3 linked regions of the Cricetulus griseus genome follow. The protein of the gene in region 3 binds, or shares a complex with, the protein of the main gene of each other region. Links are inferred from orthologs where the notes say so. Each region holds a gene or a part of one and is shown on either strand. Other genes may lie near its edges. The genes, in order: Ddx19b, Nup42 and Gle1.

What was found.
Region 1: the proteins of Gle1 (region 3) and Ddx19b are in contact, whole or in part, in a crystal structure (PDB 6B4J), measured with the Homo sapiens proteins. The link is inferred for Cricetulus griseus from reciprocal best matches to the Homo sapiens genes GLE1 and DDX19B. Residues at the interface, in NP_001003722.1 of Homo sapiens: Lys416, Lys419, Met420, Gln423, Lys424, Thr427, Ile428, Ser431, Gln432, Ile433, Ser434, Thr435, Ile436, Lys440, Gln458, Ser459, Gly460, Lys479, Lys483, Lys486, Gln487, Glu490, Glu491, Ser494, His495, Gln554, Gln562, Asn565; in NP_009173.1 of Homo sapiens: Cys325, Asn326, Tyr328, Gly329, Ala330, Ile331, Thr332, Ile333, Ala334, Glu356, Gly357, His358, Gln359, Arg378, Arg380, Glu381, Gly382, Lys383, Glu384, Lys385, Glu400, Gln401, Ser403, Phe433, Gly434, Lys435, Arg436, Asp469, Asp470, Leu471.
Region 2: the proteins of Gle1 (region 3) and Nup42 are in contact, whole or in part, in a crystal structure (PDB 6B4I), measured with the Homo sapiens proteins. The link is inferred for Cricetulus griseus from reciprocal best matches to the Homo sapiens genes GLE1 and NUP42. Residues at the interface, in NP_001003722.1 of Homo sapiens: Ile385, Ile593, Leu598, Asn599, Trp602, Arg603, Ala606, Gln607, Leu609, Asn610, Gln636, Tyr637, Gln638, Val639, Gln640, Lys643, Met644, Ile646, Leu647, Glu650, Asp651, Tyr652; in NP_001357375.1 of Homo sapiens: Asp185, Asn186, Val187, Leu188, Phe189, Gln202, Phe203, Gln204, Ser205, Lys206, Lys207, Phe208, Leu210, Gly211, Lys212, Ile213, Pro214, Leu215, Lys216, Pro217, Pro218, Leu222, Leu223, Asn224, Val225.

Annotation. Positions count from the first base shown.
Region 1 is NC_048596.1:187,430,939-187,435,017, forward strand, and holds the start of Ddx19b (ATP-dependent RNA helicase DDX19B), read right to left. Parts: upstream 2,899-4,079; 5' UTR 2,802-2,898; coding exon 2,745-2,801; intron 1-2,744. UniProt on the Homo sapiens protein: ATP-dependent RNA helicase involved in mRNA export from the nucleus.
Region 2 is NC_048601.1:92,376,196-92,380,334, forward strand, and holds the start of Nup42 (nucleoporin NUP42), read right to left. Parts: upstream 2,883-4,139; 5' UTR 2,795-2,882; coding exon 2,650-2,794; intron 1,507-2,649; coding exon 1,281-1,506; intron 1-1,280.
Region 3 is NC_048599.1:141,609,926-141,613,540, reverse strand, and holds part of Gle1 (nucleoporin GLE1), read right to left. Parts: intron 2,179-3,615; coding exon 1,947-2,178; intron 1,257-1,946; coding exon 1,144-1,256; intron 981-1,143; coding exon 911-980; intron 1-910. UniProt on the Homo sapiens protein: Required for the export of mRNAs containing poly(A) tails from the nucleus into the cytoplasm. May be involved in the terminal step of the mRNA transport through the nuclear pore complex (NPC).

The sequences.
Region 1 (4,079 bases), on a different chromosome or scaffold from region 3:
AAACAAGTTTTATCAAGTAAGTAAGGGGATGGCCAAGAAGACTCAGAGGGTAGACATCTGCCACCACACCTGAAGACTTGAGTTCAATCCTCAGGACCTACATGGTACAAGGAAAGAAGCAATTCCACCAGTTGTCTTCTGGCTCCCATATTCGTGCTATGGCAAGACCTCCCCTCCCCACCACACATACACACACACACACACACACACACACACACACACACACACACACACACACACACACAAAGCCAGATACATGTAATTTTAAAAATTTAAAGAGCTAGTCATGGTGGCATATGCCTTTAGTCCCAGCCCTTGTGAGGCAGAAGCAGGTGAATCTCTGTAAGTTCAAAGCCAACCTAGCATAAATAGTGAGTTCCAGGACAACCAGGGCTATGTAGAGAGACCCAGTCTCAAAAAAAAAAAAAAAAAAAAAAAAAAGTACTTAGGAAATAATAATATAAATACAGAAAGTCCATTTAATTAAAAGATAACATTTTAATCAAAACTGGGATCTTGGCCTGGTAGCTCAAACCTGTAATCCTCAAACTGGGGGAAACTGAGGTAGAAGGACTGCTGAAAATTAAATTCCAGGGGAGGGGGTGGCTCAGAGGTTAAGAGCACTGGCTGCTTTTCCAGAGGTCCTGAGTTCAATTCCCAGCAACCACATGGTAACTCCCAGCCATCTGTAATGAGATTTGGTATCCAAGCAGACATGCAGAGAGAACACTGTACACATAATAAATAAATATTTAAAAAAAAGAAGAAAATTAAATTCCAGTTGGGCTATATAGTGAGTTAAAGTTTGTAATATATGCTAACATACATAAAATTACATGCAATCAATAAAATTGTCTTAATTTTTTAAAAGAAGTGCAAAAATAAACCCCCAAGGCCCAAACTGTTCAATTAATGAATGGGCCAATAACCAAGTAGATAATCCCCCCCACAAAAAAAGAAAAGAAAAAGAAATATGAGGCTGGGAATGTAGCTCAGTTGGTAGAGTGCTTGCCTACCACACAGGAAACTCTTAAGTTCAGTTCCACAAACTGCATGAACTGTGCATGACAACTATGCATTCCTGTAACCCCAGCACTTGGGAAATGTTAACCAGATCAGTTAATGAAGCCAATACAGAAATCAGTACAGACATTAACAAAACAAAACTGATAATAGAACATGATCCAGCTATACCACTCTTGTGTATTCAAAGGATGAAAGACAAAGTCAACATACTACAGAGATACTTACACATCTGTATTTATAGCTACACAGCCAGGAAATGGAACTAGCCTAGAAGTCCATTCATAGATGAATAGATAAAGCAAATGTGGTATACAAAGTGGAATTTTATGGAACTATAGAGAAAAGTGAACTCATGTTACCTGCACAAAATGAGTACAACTGGAAATCATTATGTTAAGCAAAATAAACCAGACCAAGGAAAACAAACACATGTTTTTGCTCATAATGCAAAATTATATATATTGGTGTTTGTACACCTATTTATCTGTGTATTTATAGGTCACAAAACTAGAAAGGAGGTCATGAGGGAGGAGGAAGAGGTCTTATGGTAGGTGGGAAATAAAGTTAACAGGAAAGCAGGAGGGAGGCTACACAGGTGAAGAAAGGGAACCCAGCTGGAGGGAAGCCACCCGAGGGAGAGTAAGGGAAGGACAAAGAATCATACACATATGTATAAAGATGCTATGGTGAAACCTAGCACTTTGTATATTAATTTTTAAAAAGGCTACAGAGAAACCATGTCTCAAGGAAAAAAAAGAAAAAGAAAAAAGAACACTTTTCTCAAACAGGGCACAGTGATGCAGGCCTGTGATCCTAGCACTCAGGACATAAGAGACAGAGGATCAGGAGTTCCAGTCAGTCAGTCATTCATACATACATACATACATACATACATACATACATACATACATTCATTCAAGGTCCTCTGTCTCAGAAAAGAAAAAATTAAAAATACCCAAATAAGTGAACAAAGTCCAAAACACTACTTCTCTTTAAACCATGTGGGTAAATAATTATATTACTATATATATTATAATAAAAGTTTTAAGCTAAACTAAATATTTTTTCTTTCAGGGTGGCCTTCAACTTGAGGCAATCTTCCTGCCTATGCCTCTAAGAGATATGATGAGAGGTGCCAGATCATGCCAGGCTGAAACCTTTACTCTTTACTAAAAAAAAGTTAAATCGGACAAATACTTATTCTTGGAAAATACACAGATATATGTACTGAGAGTCACATTCAAATCTCTACTAAATTTCAGAATGTTTGTAAATTACTTGTACATAGCAATATTTAACTCACGTCTTGCTACAATGTATCAGGCTAAGAAAAAGAGCTAATCAAGAGAGGATTTACTGCCAAACCAGTCAATCATCCAGCACCAATAACCCAGTGGGAGGAGTTATAAATGAGTAAGACATGGTCCGTGAGCCCAAGAAACTTGTATCTGAAGCTACATAAAAATTGCCATCCGAGGTTGTGAGTGCAATCGATTATCAACCCTGATTCCAGGAAGACAGGCAGATGGCTGGATCACCCAAATTGAGTTTATACAACGTGGGAGGGGCTGGGTAAGCAAAGCCAGCTTTGGGGCCAAGTCCCATTCCCGCCAGGCTCCTCCGCCCTGCACCGAGCAACCTAAACAGTGTCTTTCCAAGAGACCGCGATCCTGACCGGCACTGGTCCCATGGTCCTCCAGCGGCTGGTGACAACTCACCGACTCAGCCGCGGCTTCCTGTTCGTCCACCGCTAGGGCCCATGAATCCGTGGCCATGGTCCCCAGTGCCGGGGCAGTGCTGACAGGCTCGCCCGATTAGGCGGCGCGGCCGTGGGCTCAGGTGGGTCGCGGCGAGGCCCAGCTCCGCCCCGGGGGAAATCATTCACTGAGGCGCAGACGACCGGAAGCGGCGCACCGCGGTGTCGTCAGAGCCCGCGTCAGCTCTGCGCCCCTAAAGTCCTGGCAACTCTAAGGTAGTCTTCAGGTCCCCGCCTCTACCACTTCGCTGCAGATTGCCCTACTACCCAACTGAGGTAGCCTAGACTAAATGCTCTCTGACTAAAGGAGGGAAATCACCTTCACACCCAGCATGGTGGTATAGAGGGGCTCATATAACTATTACATTCAGAATACATAAGCAAGCAAATAGCTGTTTTAACTTTTCAGGTTATTTAAAATGCCTCAGCTTACTTAGTGTCTGTTCTTATCAATTTAATAAGATTTCTAAGTATTGGCAATCAGTCCTGTGAAACAAAGATCTGTCCCAAATTGAGTTTTGAAAACACCAAATTCTTGATAAATTGAAAATTTTGGTAAAATATCAGAAACCAGAAAGAGTAAGTCAGTTTATCCAACCAATCCAATTCAATCCCTGGTGGCAAGAGCCATTTAATAAGGAAATATATGGATTTTGGAATCATCTATGCCTTCTTCGGATGGCCAGCTCTCCTCTCCTATGTAAAGGCTGTGTAGCTGGAGTTTTATTTATTTCGTTTTGGATAATTACAAAAAAAACTTGCTTATTTTATGTGTATGAGTGTTTTGCTTGCATGCCTTTGTGCACTATATGTGTATCTGGAGCCCAGAAAAGTCAGAAGAGGGCATTGGATACCCAGAAGTGGAGTTATGGATAGTTGTGAACTATCATGTTGGTGTTGGGAATTGAACCCAGGTCCTCTGCAAGAGCAGCAAGCACCCTTAACCTCTAAGCCATCTCTTCAGCCTTAGTTTTGGATAATTTTTATTTTATTTTGGTTTGGTTTTTTGAGGCAGGGTTTCTCTGTGTAGCTTTGGAGCCCTGGATAATCTTTAAGAGGAGGAAATAGCTCTAGTTTTTAGAATAGTAAAATAAGGACTGAAATACTTGCTTTCCCCTAACTGGGATCAAATAGGCCTTTATCCCTGGCTACTTCTTGGAAGGAATTGGAGAATTTTCTTGGAACTTTATGAAAACATTTTACTAATATTACATGACAAATTAATGTCAAGCAATGGTGAGTACGTAAGGATGGTGCAGGCAGAGGACAACCAAGCACAGGCTGGGAGCCATGACCA
Region 2 (4,139 bases), on a different chromosome or scaffold from region 3:
CCAGCACCAGGATTGGCCGAGGAGGATTCTGAGGGCTTGCAGGGTATCACACAGAGTTTAAGGCCAATCAGCACATTGAGAGCTTGTTTCCTTTTTTTTCTTTTTAAAGATTTTATTTATTTATTATGTATACAACATTCTGCTTCCATGTATATCTGCACACCAGAAGAGGGCACAAGATTTTATAATCGATGGTTGTGAGCCACCATGTGGTTGCTGGGAATTGAACTCAGGACCTCTGGAAGAGCAGTCGGTGCTCTTAACCGCTGAGTCATCTCTCCAGCCCCGAGAACTTGCTTCTAAAACAACACCTTGTATTTTGTAGTTATAAATAATCTATAATAAGTAATAGTGTTGCTTTCTAATTCACAGAATGCCTAATAATAGTTAAGAATAATCTGAAATATAATATTTTTTAAAGAACTAAATACAACACAGTATCAGAAATACAATTTTAAAGTATTAAAATTTTTTTTTTATGTGCATTGGTGTTTTGCCTACACGTATGTCTGTGTGAAGGTGTCAGATCGTGGAGTTACAGACAGTTGTGAGCTGCCATGTGGGTGCTGGGAATTGAACCCAGGCCCTCTGGAGGAACAGTTAATTCTCTTAACCTGTGACCTCCCCCGCAACCTCACCAGCCCCCAGGTCCATGCACTGAACAGTTAATCTGAAACAAAGCTGTGGATGGAGTTGGCTCTAAATTAAAGTTTCTTTCCATCTAGAATATGACCATTAGTAAACTGATAGGTGTCACAAAGAATATGTTATTACAGTTAGAATCACAATAAACACAACTTTGCTTTCTTTACACACACACACTTGATGCTTGATCAATACACTTGAAAATTTAGGTTCGATATTCAGCAGCTGGGCGTTCTGGAGGCACAGATAATAAGATCTCTGTGAGTTCTGAGCCAGTCAGGGCTACACAAGGAGACCCTGTCTTAAAACAAAATATCCCCTTCTCCCCACCAAAAACCAAAATAAACAAACAAACAAAAACCAAAAACTGAAAATCCACTATTTATGGAACTTCAAATAGGGTAACTGAAATAAAGGATTTACAAAGAAAGTAAGTGCTATTATCAGTATCTACAGGATTACAGTTGTTCTGAGTTACCCAGCACTCTAAAGACTGCAGAGGACAATGACTAACCTTTGAAAAAATAGTTCTGCTTACTCTGATTTTCAAAATTAGTCTTTTTCAAAGAAAACACTAAGTGCTTCTGGAACAACCAAGCAACTGGGTAGTGACTTTCTACAAAACTTTAACTTACAGAAGTTTCTTTTCATCTTTCTGCTCATCAGAGACAGGTGAAGCAAAAGGATTTTGAGGCGGCGATCCAAAGCCTCTGCTCGTGGAAGGCCCAGAGTCAAAAGAGCCGAAAAATGGTTTGTCTTGATCTCTGCTGCCACCCCATGGTGTAGACTTGGAGAAGCTGGATGGCTGGATGACATTGGAGTATCTCTGGCTGTTGGCATTCCACCCACGCCTGTTACTTCCTAAATAATAAAGAAAATTAGAGTCCCAAAACTGGTAACTTTTTCAAATCTTGGAAATCCCCACTATATTTTATCTCATTATGTCCAGAAATTATACAAAGACTAATAAAGTGCTATTTTCTACCACTTTTAAATGACAATACCTTTATGATTTGTTTGTTACATGTTCTAACAAATCATGTAATATTCTAATTGCATTTAAAAAATGAGATTAAGGCCAGGTGTGTTAGTGTATGACTCTATTCACAGCACTGTGGAGGAGTGACAGGCAGATCTCTATGAGTTCTAGACCAGCCAGGGCTACATAGTGAGGCCCTATCTCAAACAAACAAACCAAACCAAAAACCCAAAACCAAACCAAACCAAACCGAACAACAAATAACAAAAATGAGACCAATAGGCTGGAGAGAGGCTCAGCAGTTAAGAGCACTGGCTTTCAGAGGACCTGTGTTCATTTCCCAGCACCCACATGGCAGCTCACAACTGTCTGTAATTCAGATTCCAGGGATCTGAGTTTGTTTGTTTGAGACAGGGCCTCACTATGTAGCCCTGGCTGGTCTAGAACTCAGAGACCTGCCTGTCACGCCTCCACAGTGCTGTGATTAGAGTCATACACTAACACACCTGGCCTCATAGAGATACACATGTAGGCAAAATACCAATGTACATAAAATAAAAAAAAATTTAAAAATAAGATCAAGAGGATTAGAAATCCATAGGAAAATAAAGATATATGCTGAGTTCAGCTTTCATAAATCTACTAAACAGGCTTTTAAAACCTTGTGTGGTGCGGCTGGTTTAATGCCTGGTTCCTTGAATACTCTTTCCTGTACGTTCTTAGCCCAGCGTCCCACCCTACCAACGAAAGCCCACATTTTAAGAGGATGCGATCAAGGACAAGGGAGGGGGAAGCAGGGCCAGAGGTCCGGACGGACCCACGCGAATTCTCCCAATCACTGCCCGGCGTCAACAAAGTGGTTTTGGTAAGATGTGCTCCTAATTGAAAGCGCAGTGTTGGCCCTGGCGCCCAGGTGCAAAGCCCGGGCTGTCTGGTGAGCCGAAAGGACTACCCGGGCGGGGCTGGGACGCGTCCTCATGCCCGGACCCTGGCCCGGACCCCGGCTCGCTCTCCGGGACGGTCACCTGAGGGCGCCGCCTGCGGCTGCTGCTGCTGCTGCTGCAGTGGCGGCTGCCGGGCTCCGCCCGCGCCCCGCGTGCCGGGATGCTCGTTCCAGCAGCGGTCTCCGAAGCGGCACCGGCCTTGAAGGAAAAACTGGCAAATGGTCATTGCAGCGCCGGCCCAGCTCCCGGTCGGTCTTCAGGTCGGTAGGGACAGCCCAGTTTCCAGCAGCCCAAGCCCCGTCGCCAATGTGACGTCATCCCCCCGCGTCCGGAGGTTCTGTGATCCGGCTCCGGTGCGGTGAGAGGCGTGGACTTCAGCCAATGGGATTTGAGAAGAGCAGACCCGTCCCGCCCAGGGGCGCTGAGCCTGGGAACAGGGCCCTCATCTGGAGGGGACCAGATGTCGCCGACAACCACCAAGGCTCTAGTTGTCTACAGTTTGCGAGGCCCAGTCGTTCTTAACATTTATTTAGACAAGAAAAGGTAAACAAGAGAGCGACTCAGAGAAAGTCAGCTGTCACTAGGAAACAGGGTGCACCCCAGGCGAAAAGCATTGTAATAAATAGCTCCTTAGCTGGTAATGTCTTCTTTCTGCACACTGAGAAATCTTGTTCGTAAAATTTCATGTAAATATTGCCTTTTGAAATTTTATCAAAAGAATTAAGGTTGTCTGGAAAACTGGCACAGAAGCAGCGCACTTTTTTCTCAGATACACAGCTTCAGATAGGGATTTTTGTAAACATTCCATTTCTTCCTCCTCCGACTCCCCCCCCCCCCTTTTTTTGAGATAGTCTTACTATGTAGCCCTGGCTGGCCTTGAAAACAGAGACCCACCTATTGGCTTCTAAGTGCTATAAACACACACACACACACACACACACACACACACACACACACACACACACACACACACACACACACACGGCACATTCCATGTATTCGCAGTTCTCAAACAGGATCCTGTATAAGTATACTATATAAGTGTGGTGATAGCTTGCTTGTACAAATAAAGCCTTTCTGAAGGTCAGAGACTGGAGCTTGTCACTAGCTAACCATAGAGGTCTGGAGGTCTGTACAGACAGACAGGAAATGAGATAGCTGGACAGAAACAAGATGTAGCAGGGAGAGAAGCTGAGATGCCGAGGTAAAGTGTGGTGGTAGCTTGCTCCTTCTTAAAGAAAAATGGAAGTGCTCTTGGAAATTAAAATTGGATAGTGGGGACAAACTGAGTTGGAGACAGCTCAGGGACTCCTAAGTACATCTTTAGTCTCATTTTACATCTTAGTTATGCCAGAGGATGGAAAGATGTCAAGCAAAATTCTAATCAGTAAGCGTAACACTTGTGATGGTTAATCTTGTCGAGTTGATTACATTTAGTATCACCATAGACACACATCTCTGGACTTCCAAGATGTTATATTTAAAATCCCCACAGATTTACCTCTGGGCATGTCTTTGAGGATGCTTCCAGTAACGTTTTACTGAGGAGAAGACACTGGGAGTGTGGGCTG
Region 3 (3,615 bases):
ACTCGCACATAGACTCATCTACTCACATAATACAGATACCTGCACAGACACAGAAGTAAAACCCTTAAAACAACATGCATGAGACAAGGGTTGTGGCACATGTCTTAAATCAAGAACACCCATCAGCTAAGATGGATTCATGGACAGCCTGGGATACACAGTCTGAGCTAGCCCACTAACTCAATAAAACAAACAAATTAGAATCAGTAGCTCAGTGGTGTTCAACCCCCAACACCATAAAAAAAATAAAAAGATCGAATCTCCATGAGTTCAAGGCAAGCCTGGTCTACAGGCTAGTTCCAGGACAGCCAAGGCTACATAAAGAAATCATGTCTCAAAAAACTAAAACAAACAAATACAAATAAATAAATGAGCCTACCTAGCTCCCCCACCTCCCAGCTTCTCAATAAAATCATTTGAACCCCTCCAAAGAGAGACAATAAATATTTATTTTTTTCTTTCTATGCTACTGAGTATTGCCTTAGGCCTAGTACAGGCCTGAGTGTTCTACTAGTTGCATCCCCAGTGTCTCCGGACTTTCTCCTTTTGAGATAAGTTCTTAGTGCATTACACTTCATACAGGTTGTTCTTGAATTTATGATCCTCTGGCCTTCCCTCAACCAGCTGGGATTACAGACCTGCACTACTGGACTCATCACATCAATCTTCTGTTTGAAGAGAAAAAAAATGTGTGCAACCAACACAAATTTGAACTGTGCGTGTGTGTGTGTGTGTGTGTGTGTGTGTGTGTGTGTGTGTGTGTGTTAGTAGAGATTGGTCCCAGGCCCTTGCTCATACTTGGCAAGTACTCTGCCACTAAGCCACATCCCAAGCCCTGAAAACACACTTTGTATAACAACCTCAAAGCAATCAGTTTGCAAAAATGAAACGAAGTGAACCATTGACCCACCTGCAATGGTGGAGATCTGGCTCACTGGGATGGTGGCTGCCTTCTGCAAGTCCATCTTTATCTTTTTAGCCTGCCAAAAGAGAATGGTGACATGACAGATGGTTTTAAGTAGCTGAGCCCATGCCTTTAGGATGAAGGAACATGACATAAGTACATTCTTTTAGAATGTCAGGCTGTGGGGCTCAGGCTGTGGGGCATACCACAAGAATTGTTGCCATCCAACTCTCCCCTACCTGACTGTCCTTGCTGCTGGTCAGGCCCTCAAAGGCCAACACACATTTGGCAGAAGCATCCTGAAGTTGCTGATACCACTGCATGGTACTATCTTGTACCTTCACCTGCAGGTCTGAGAATAAGACAGGCCTTAATGGCAGTGAGCTTACTTAACATGCCACATAAGCTTTGACTATTCTATGCACCGCACTATGCATTGGCTGTTTTAGTGGTCACAATCAACTATGAAGTAGAGACTTCTACTATTTCCATTTAATGAGTAAAGACACAGACACAAAAAGGTTGTTTGCTAAGGTCAAACTGATATACAAGTAGAAACAGATTCCACTGTCTGGCTAAACACATTGCTATGTGATCCTCAAACATATTAAACAAGGTTCTCTGTACATAATACTTAATATAAACCAGATCTCATTACAGATGGTTGTGGGTTGCCATGTGGTTGCCATGACTGAAACTCAGGTGGTGCTCTTAACCTCTGAGCCATCTCTCCAGCTACAAGCAATTCTTTTAAAATAAAATACGTAGCAGTAGCAATATTTGGAATAACATACCCATTAGACATAAACAGCCTTTTAATGTCCCTGTGGAAAGTGCTAGAATCTGAAATTGGTTCCAGATCAACTAAAACACATTATGTAAAAATTCTGATGAACTGGGCCATTCTGTAGTGTAACACATTCTCCCTCTGTCTCTCTCAGTCTGTGTCTCTGTTGTCTCTGTCTCTGTCTCTCACACATATGTTTGTTTTGCCTTAAATATCCTGACACTTAAACAGTTGAAGGACTGCATTCACACTTACCTTCATTCTGTGTCACTGCTGGGCCTGGACTGTGCACTGGGGGCTGGGTGGGAGCCCCTGAACCTTGCTGCACCTGTGATTCTTGCATCTTGGCCCGGGCCTCCTCTTCATCCTGCTTCTTCTTGACTTCATAGGCTCTGGTGATTTCCTGCTCCAAATTTGAGAGGAGGTCCCGCATTTCCTGCAGGGTTTTCTCAGCCTCAGCTTGGTTCTCTGCTGTGGGATAACCACTCTGTCAAAGTGAGAGACAATATTTAACATTCATTTCCTAGGTACCATTGTGGGGCTAACTCACACCACACAATACATTGCTGAAGTAAAACTGTTGGACCAAGGTATATACATGATCAAATATTGATACCTACTCTTTTTCTGTTCTCTTAAAGATTTACTATCATAGAGCTGCGAGTGGTGACTCATGTCTGTGATCTTAGCACCTGAGAGATAGAGGCAGGAAGATTGCTACAACTCTGAGACAAGCCAGGGCTACACAGTGAGACTGCGTCAAAAAAAAAAAAAAAAAAAAAAAAAAATTGCCATTGAGATAGTTCAGTAGGTAAAGGTACTTGCTTAGCAACTCTGACAGAATTTAATACCTGGAACCTCCACAACAATAAGAGAGAACTGACCCCACACAATTGTCCTCTGACTTCCACACATGTGTGCGGGCACACACGCACACAACTACAACAAAAGGTTTATCCTAATCACATCCATAGCAACCAACAATGGAGCAACCTTTTTTCTTTTTTCTTTCTTTTTTTTGGGGCGTGGTTCAAAACAGGGTTTCTCTGTGTAGTTTTGGAGCCTGTCCTAGAACTTACTCCATAAACCAAGCTGACATCGAACTCACAGAGATCCACCTGCCTCTGCCTCCCAAGTGCTGGGATTAAAGGCATGTGCCACCACCACCCAACCAGAGCAATCTTTTTAAAAAAAAGTTTGTGACAAAACCAAGTATATGGTGCATATGCCAGTAATCCTAGCACTCAAAAGGCTGATGTAGGAGGAACAATGCCTTAAGTTCGAAGCCATGTAGACTATATCGTAAGATCCTCTCACAAACAACAAAACAAAAACAAAACAAAACAAAAAACAGGCGGCTACAGAAATGGTTCAGCGGTTAAGAGCACTTGCTAATCTTGCAGATCATCTGGGTTTGGTTCCTGGCAACTTTGTCAGGTGGCTCACAACCACATAGAACTCCAGGTCCACTACTAACCTCCATGGAAACACACAAACACACACACACACACACACACACACACACACACACACACACACAGTCAAAAAGAACAAAAACAAAGGTAGGTGGTGGGAGTTACAACAATATGCTAGTTAAACATGCTGATTAGAGCTGGGTGCAGGTCTTTGATCCAGCAAAACAAGTTAAAAGGAGGCATTGAGTTTGAGGTCAGCCTGGGCTGTATTGCCTCAGTAACAAATAAAAAGCTGTAATTTGTAAAACATCTATTAGTGGTGATTCATAAGTATTCAAAATTCTATTTCATCTTTTGTTTTTGGTAAAAGATTACACTGTGTGTGTGTGTGTGCTTGTGGGCTTACAGATGTAATCATGAAAGTCAGAGAACTTTTGCAGTCGAGTGTTGGTGGCGCATGCCTTTAATCCCAGCACTCAAGAGGCAGAGGCAGAGGCAGGCAGATCTCT